Linked DNA regions of Macaca mulatta. The protein of the gene in region 1 purifies or fractionates together with the protein of each later gene. This does not show direct contact. Links are inferred from orthologs where the notes say so. Each region holds a gene or a part of one and is shown on either strand. Other genes may lie near its edges. The genes, in order: WDR62 and MAPK8.

Region 1 (3,811 bases):
GGTATTGGGGACAGTCATGGCTGGGATGTAAGGACAACACAACCTATGGCTGTCACGGATGGTGCTCCTGCTCTGGGCCCTGCCCTGAGCCCTTCACAGGATAACCCATGAAATTCCCTCAATAGCCCCATGAGGGAGGCGCCTCTCCCCAACCCTCCTAGGCTCAGAGGGGAAGATGTCATGTGCTCAAGGTCACATAGTGGGTTATGGGCAGAGCCAGGACTTGGTACCCACTTCTGCCAGCTCCACAGCTGTTCCAAAGCCCAGTCTTCCAGTGCTTATCAACTCATTAAAGTCTTACAACTCAACAAGATAAGTAGCACTATATCCATCTAACAGAGGAGGAAACAGACTCACAGAGATGTTAAGTCACTTGGCTAAGGTCACAGCTGGTCATTATAAAAATATTTATAATTCTTCCAGCTGGGCACCTATCTTGTGCCTTACAGTAAGGGATCAGCATGTCGCAGGTGCTCAATAGCTGTCATGTGTTGGGTGAGTGAGCACTTTACTGCGTCCTCTCATGTAGCTCTCCCAGTGCCCAAGACACAGGATGCTCTGGCAGCTGGCTGCCTGCCACAGGCCCGCTGGTCTTACCTTCCAGTCCCAGACGTTGAGCACCATGTCATGTTGGTAGCCCATGGACACGATGTGCTTCATATTGGGTGAGAAGGCCACACAGGCCACACCATACTTGTGGCCTAGCATCTCCGCCACCTGATTCTTCTCCTCCACATCCCAGATGCGCACAGCAGGCCTATGCCCATTCTAGGGAAGGTGGGGTCATTACTGCTGCTGGGCTCTGTACCAGGCAGGGCTAGAGGGGTTGTCAAGGCTGAAGATTGCATTGCCATAGGGTGTGCCCAAAAGCCATCTCCCCCATCTGCTACGGGGCTGTTCTGGCCCAGGAAGGAGCTATTCCAGGGACTCCCAGGCCTGCTGGGAGCATAAGGAATGGCTCCTGAGGCCCCCCAACCCCCACTCCCACTCAATCGTGATCATGACTCACCTCCCCTGTCACTATGTACTTCCCATCAGGGGAGAAGGCCAGAGCACTCAGAGACTTCCTGGGGATAAAGAAAAGAGCTGATCACTGGTTCCGCTAAGGGTGGCCAGTCAGACCCCATCCTGGCGGCTCTGATAGGACTCTGCCCTCTCCTGCCTCCCAAGCCTCAGAAGAGGCCAGGGGAGGTGAGCTCAAGCAGCTCCCACAGAGCCAGTACTGCTGGCGTGCCCAGCACAGCACACAGAGAAATGGGGGTAAATGCAAAGCCCCTTCGACCCTGAGATACCAAACCCAAATGGGGCAGACATTGTATGGGGACCCTGCTTTCTTCTCTCTCTGCCGCAGTGGCTACCCTAAGACCCCACCCACCCTATAACACTGAGAAATAGAGATGCAGGAAATGGTACAGGCCTGGCCTAACTAAAGGGGTGGTGCTGATGGGAGGATCCTGGCAGACATCACATCAAGGTAGCCTGCAGCATGTGCTCCACTGATAAATACTCAAGATATTCTGGAAAATCCATAAACAGCCAAAATGTTTCTGATACTCCTAGCTAGCCTGCACAAGGACTTGAATGAACAGGCTAGCTGACAGGTTTCTGGCAGCAAGATTCACCATTCTGAGATTGTATGGTTTCCTTCTTCTCCCCGCTCTCTTTTAATCTTGTTTTTACCTTTGTTCCTTAACAATAATTGTCTCCCTACGTGAGATGGTAAATTGGCGTGCAGATAACTAAGTAAATGTCACTAAGTGAGACTTTGGCAACTTCATGGAATATTCATCAAGTCAACCTGCTTCCCAGGCTTCCCGTGGTTCCTTACAGCAGCAAACAGGGCAAATTGCGTCCTGGATATCCACTTGTCTCTCTTTCCTCACTGACATAATCCCAGTTTCATGCTTGCAGCTATGCAGGTACAGCTACATGACTCAGTCTGGCCAAGGAGAAGTAAACTGACATGATGTGTGCCCCGCTTCCCACCAGTTCCCCTCCTGAAATAAGCACAGAACAGCCAGAACTCCATCTTGGGCCATAAAGTGACTTCAAGACCAGAAGCCTCACAATAAATGGGGTGGAACAGAAGGAGAGAGGAATGGAGGCTGGGTGCGGTGCCTCATGCCTGTAATCCCAGCACTTTCAGAGACAGAGGTGGGAGGTTCACTTGAGGTCAGGAGTTCACGATCAGCCTGGCCAACATGATGAAACCCCATCTCTACTAAAAATACAAAAAAATAGGCCGGGCATGGTGGCTCAGGCCTGTGATCCCAGCACTTTGGGAGGCCAAGGCGGGCAGATCACAAGTTCAGGAGATCGAGACCATCCTGGCTAACACGGTGAAACCCTGTCTCTACTAAAAAGTACAAAAAAATTAGCTGGGCTTGGTGGTGGGTGCCTACAGTCCCAGCTACTCGGGAGGCTGAGGCAGGAGAATGGCTGAACCCTGGAAGTGGAGCTTGCAGTGAGCAGAGATCACGCCACTGCACTCCACACTGGGAGAGACAGCGAGACTCCATCTCAAAAAACAAACAAACAAACAAACAAACAAAAAATAGCCAGGTGTGGCGTTGGGCGCCTGTAATCCCAGCTACTCGGGAGGCTGAGGCAGAAGAATCGTTTGAACCCGGGAGGCGGAGGTTGCAGTAAGCCAAGATCGCACCACTGCACTCCAGTCTGGGCAACACAGCAAGACTCCGTCTTGGAAAAAAAAAAGAAGTGGGGCAGGGTGCGGTGGCTCATGCCTGTAATCCCAACACTTTGGGAGGCCGAGGCGGGTGGATGATGAGGTCAGGAGATTAAGACCACCCTGGCTAACATGGTGAAACCCTGTCTCTACTAAAAATACAAAAACAAAATTAGCCGGGAGAGGTAACAGGCACCTGTAGTCCCAGCTACTCGGGAGGCTGAGGCGGGAGAATGGCGTGAACCCGGGAGGCGGAGCTTGCAGTGAGCTGAGATGGCGCCACTGCACTCCAGCCTGGGTGACAGAACGAGACTCCATCTCAAAAAAAGAGAGAAAAAAAAAGTGGGGTCCCTGGTGTTCAGAGACACAGCCCCTGGGCTGCCCACCTCCGGACTTAAGATGTGCAGGAGGAGCATGCCCTTGGGTTTTAAGCTACGCCGTGGAGGGGTTTCTGTTGTCTGTAGCCACCTCTAACCTGTCGCATGCCCCGACCTTGTGCCTGGCCCTCTAGCAAATGCTGTGTGGCCATCACTGCACTGATTCCTCACACATGCTTCATGGAGTCAGGGCTCTCATGAACCAACTTTGCAGATGAGGTGACTGCAACACAGGGAAGTCCCATGCTACGGTTAACTAACCAGAAAGGACAGAGCCCTGACCTCTAAGCCAGTAGTTCTCAGTCTTGGCTGTACATTATAATTCCCTGGGGAGCATCTGAAAAGTGTCAAAGTCTAAGATAAGTTGAGTGAAACTTTGGTGAGGAACAGGATAATATTTGCACAGTCTCAGAAAAGATTTCCCCAGGATACTTGCTAATCACAAAGGTGAAGAGAGAGGCTTTGAAGTGGAGGAATCTGGAAGGCAACACCTTGGCCAAATGCTCCCAGTGAACACCACCAGTCACGGGAGACCTCCTGAGAGGAGGCACTGGGAAGAACACAGCACCCCTTCTGGTCTGTTCCTGTCAAAGATGCAGAACCTGAGTCTGCCCTTGAGGAAGCATAGAATAAACCCAAGATACCTCATCTACAATCCTCAAAAGTGTCAAGATCAGCCAGGCGCAGTGGCTCATGCCTGTAATCTCAGCACTTTGGGAGGCCGAGGTGGGCAGATCACAAGGTCAGG
Region 2 (4,284 bases), on another chromosome or scaffold:
AAATGGCATTTCCCCCGATCTAAAGGAGTGTGAAGGATATAGTTTCCTATTCTGCCAGGACAGGACACTTAAAAGGAGCCCTTTTCATACTTATTAAAGGAATATATTTACTAACAGAATCGATGCTATATCTCTTACTTTAAAGCATAATTTGAAGTGAAATTCAGAGTGACTGCTAATGAATATGGTGTTTCTTCTTGGGGTGATGACAATGTTCTGGAATTGGTGATGGTGATCAATGCACAACATTGTGAATATACTAAAAACCACTGAAATATATACACTCTAACAGGTGAATTTCATGTCAATTAAATTTCAATAAAGCTATTTTTAAAAACCAATAATTTGGAAAACAAAATAACACAACTCTGGTTCTTTACATAGGCTGACTGTGAGCTACTGCCAAAGGATTGTCAGTAACCCCTACTAGAAGCTGACATACCTTAACTAGGTAAAGCAATAAAACGTTGGTATCTCAAAGGTTTTCATCCCTCATCTTAAAAAAGTATCATTTTCTTATTTCTTCATTTCCACTTTACACCAAATAATAAGAAGCTCATTAATTAGTTCACTCTTTTCGTATTCTTTCAAATCCAAAACAAACGCTAAACTGTTCAGGGAGTGGAAAAGAGCTTTAACTTGGATAAATGAATTATTTTGAGTTTTAGGATCATATTTTGTACCAATGTGTTAACACAAGTTAGAACTTAAAACCAAACATTTCAAGTAAACATTTCCAAAATATTAGAAATATTTCTAATAAAACATTTATGTGGCTTTGTCCTCAATTTTTCACAAAATGAGTCACCAAAAACCTTTCAAATAATATTCACAAAATTATAAATGCAATCATTTTAGACCCCTACTGAAATACCAGTTTATGTGTGCCTGTGTGTGCATTACGTACATACACACACAGACACACATAAACTAGTACATACACAGAAACACACACCCCACAACCTACTTTAGTTTATTAATCATATTAAAAAAACATTTAGACAAGATTTTATTTTAGGACAGTGAATGACCTACACGTGATTCAAAAGCCCATGTCATCATAACAGATAATGTACATGAACTGATCATTTAGCCATCTGAAGCGACAGTTGCATGAAGCTTCCAAAACTTTATGGAGAACATTACAGTTTTTTTTAAGGCTTGAATTTAAATATTATCAATTACAAAGAGCTTTTCATCAATCCGACTTTTATTGAACACTTACTATATTCCAGGCTAGGTGGTGGAGAAACAGATGCAAGACAGGCCTGCCCTCAAGGAAGTCCCATTTTGATTGCTTGCTTTTGTCAGGCACAGCACTAAACATGTTCACTTAGAGCATCTGACCTCCTAGGTTTAACGTTAACCACAGCAGGGGAATCTGAGGTAACCATTACAAATGACTGTAAGGCTGCAAGACTGGAAAAAATAAAATTTAGAAATAAACAAAAGCTGTTGTATATTTAGACCAAATCTAATTCTACTTCCTAACATTACACTTGAACTTCCAGATATACTGCTTAAAAAATGACCCAGAACATAACCATACCTTCCTTAACAGACATCTCTTATGTAATTCTCTCATTTAAAGGTCCATCTATTATACTTCAGTCAAAGCATCCTCTTCCATGAAAGGATACCTTCCTTTACCTTCAAACCAAACCTCTTCATCTGGGTACGGTACCGAACAGTTGTTGAATGAATGAATGAATGAAAAAACATGTTCTAATTGCCAAAGAGGTATTTGCTGGATGCCTATCTCAAAACACAATGGACTGACGGACCAGAATTCTACTGGACAGATCGCTGAATTTCAGAGGTAAAAACGGTAATCACTGGACAATGCCATGTAGTTAACATGTTATTAAATTCGCAATAAAGACCAGGCGGGGAACTTTCAGAAATAAAAACGGAAAGTGTTCATCAGGGTACTTTAAAATGGACTTGGTTCTACCATCTCTGAATCCGGAACACAAATGTGAGACAAAGAGATGGGAGGGTGGGGTGAAAAAGTCAAAAGGTCACCACCGAGTGACCCTCAAGAGAAATGTGCGCTGACCACCGAAGCTCGGGCCAAGCTGGATGGACACCTCCCACCCGAACCACGGGCCTGGGCTGTGCCTCGCAGCCCAGAGCTGCAGGCCATCCCGGCCCTTTTCAGCGCTGCTGCCTGCCTTCGCCCAGAACCTGAGCACAAAGAAACCACCGAGAAGCAAAATACGGTCCCCATGGGCGCGGGGCAGGCTTGGGGACCCGCTGGTAGAAGCCCTCTTCCCGGCTCCTCGCCGCCCCGGAGGCAGCCAGGGTGCGGCGGGCCGCGGAGACGCCTCTGTCCGACCCTTGCCGAAGTGTTTCAGAACTTGCCACCCACCCCCCCGCTATTTTCTTCTCCCGCCGCGGAGGCAGGACCCGCGCGAAGAGGACGCGAGAGGACAGGCGGGCGGGGCTCGCCGCGGCGGGCGGGCTGGCGGGTAGCAGAGCGCGCCCAGGTCCCGCAGCCCCACGCCCCCTTGGCCGGCCCCCGCCTCTGCGCCGCTATTGTTCCCGCGCCGCCCCCGCCCGCCGCGCGCTCCCGCCCCCACTCCCGGGAGGGGGTTACGGCTGAGGAGAAGGCGGCGGCAGCGGCACAATAACATAAACACGACGGGGCCGCCTGCCGCCCAGGCCCTGCGGCATCCGCCGCACTCACCCGGCAGCGCAGCGAACGGCGACAGGGAAGCCCGCCAGCGGGGACAGGGGCGGTCCGAGCGGTCGCCGCGGCCGTTACCCAGGTCTGCTCGCCGCTCCGCGATCCTAGCCGCGTCGTCCAGCCTCGGCCGCTCCGCTGAGTAACAGGGACGCGGGCCGTCACCGCGCACGCCCGCCCACGTCATCGCGCAGGGCGCCGCCCCCGCGCCTCCCGAGTGGCCTGCGGGGCGGGGCAGCCCCGGGGCCCGGATTGCGGGGGCGGGGCCGCTGGCCGGGGGCGGGGCTACTCCACGGGGCTGAGAGAACTTGCGGAGGTCGCCTGGAGGCGGAGCCGCGGAGAGAGCCTCCGAGGGCAGTGGGTGAGGGGCGTGGCCAGGAGCGGGAGGGGCGGGCCCTGTGGTGGCACGTGGCGGCGCGTGGCCCCAGGGGACTGCATCTGGTTGGCGGCGGTAGCCAGGTCGGAGCTTAAGGCTTCGGGCCTCGTCACCACAGGGTTTGAAGGGCAGGTGAGCTTAGGCCAAACTTGCGCAGCGAACAGACACCCCTTCCTGGTACACACCTGAGTGATGAAGAGCTGGTTACCTTGACCGACAGTACGTTCCATGCTGAGGACACCTGTCCGGATCCCAGCAACCTACAGAGAGATAAGTGTTCTCTTCAGCTGCCCCGGTAAAGCTTCCTCCAGTTTTTCCAAAATCCACTTCCTCCGAGATTCCTTGCAAATCCACCTCTTCCCAGATTCCTTGCATTACCTGGTTTACCTCTGAGGCCCCACAAAACGTGTAAATGTTACAGAAGCGATAAATTGACAAGCCTTTAAATATCCAACAACAGGTGGAAAGGCGTTTAAGTTACCTACATCCATGCAGTAGAATACATTTTAGCAATTTAAACGCCATGTGTTCAAGGAATTCTTAACAACACAGGAAAATGTTAACAATATATCATTAAGAGAAAGAAGCAAGAAACAAGTCTTATATATAGAACGATCCCACTTAGTTACTATATATACACATAGAAAAAACCTGGAAAGAAATACACCAAATTATGTTAGCAATGGTTCGTCATTGGACTATGGAATAAAGGGTGACTTGGTTCTCTTTTATACTTTGGGTATTTTCTCATGTTTTCCAAGAGGAATAGTTATGTTCACAATCGGAAACAAGTAAGTTACTTTAATAAAGAATATATAAATATTTGTTGAATGAATGAATGATTTCAGGTAGACTACTTTCCTATTACATGTGGGGCTGGCCTCTTTCTGGTGATTCTAAAAGCGAACATACAGGTGATTATTCATTCATTCTCTTCCCATTTCCTCTTTTCCTCCCTCTCAACCTTCTTAATTTCCTTCCTTCCATCCTTTATTCCTGCAATAATTATTTATTGCAGGCCCATTCAGTGCCTAGCAGTACAATAGAGTTTACAGATTTAATCACTGTACTATGAAAGTAATAACAGTAAATGCAAAATTATCACTGTATTATAATACAAATTGTTAAGGATACATAATATTATGAAACTAACTAATACACTAGTTAGTAAGGCCAGAAAAGATTTCCCTGAGGAACTGTCCCTTGAGCTGGGAATAGGTTT

What was found.
Region 2: the proteins of WDR62 (region 1) and MAPK8 purify together in Homo sapiens (affinity purification with mass spectrometry; 5 studies listed by BioGRID and IntAct, counting the BioPlex papers as one, with this or other methods). This does not show direct contact. The link is inferred for Macaca mulatta from reciprocal best matches to the Homo sapiens genes WDR62 and MAPK8.

Annotation. Positions count from the first base shown.
Region 1 is NC_133424.1:47,322,366-47,326,176, reverse strand, and holds part of WDR62 (WD repeat-containing protein 62), read right to left. Parts: intron 1,068-3,811; coding exon 1,010-1,067; intron 769-1,009; coding exon 598-768; intron 1-597. UniProt on the Homo sapiens protein: Required for cerebral cortical development. Plays a role in neuronal proliferation and migration.
Region 2 is NC_133414.1:60,852,999-60,857,282, forward strand, and holds the start of MAPK8 (mitogen-activated protein kinase 8), read right to left. Parts: upstream 2,834-4,284; 5' UTR 2,690-2,833; intron 1,420-2,689; exon of another isoform or gene 1,226-1,419; intron 1-1,225. UniProt on the Homo sapiens protein: Serine/threonine-protein kinase involved in various processes such as cell proliferation, differentiation, migration, transformation and programmed cell death.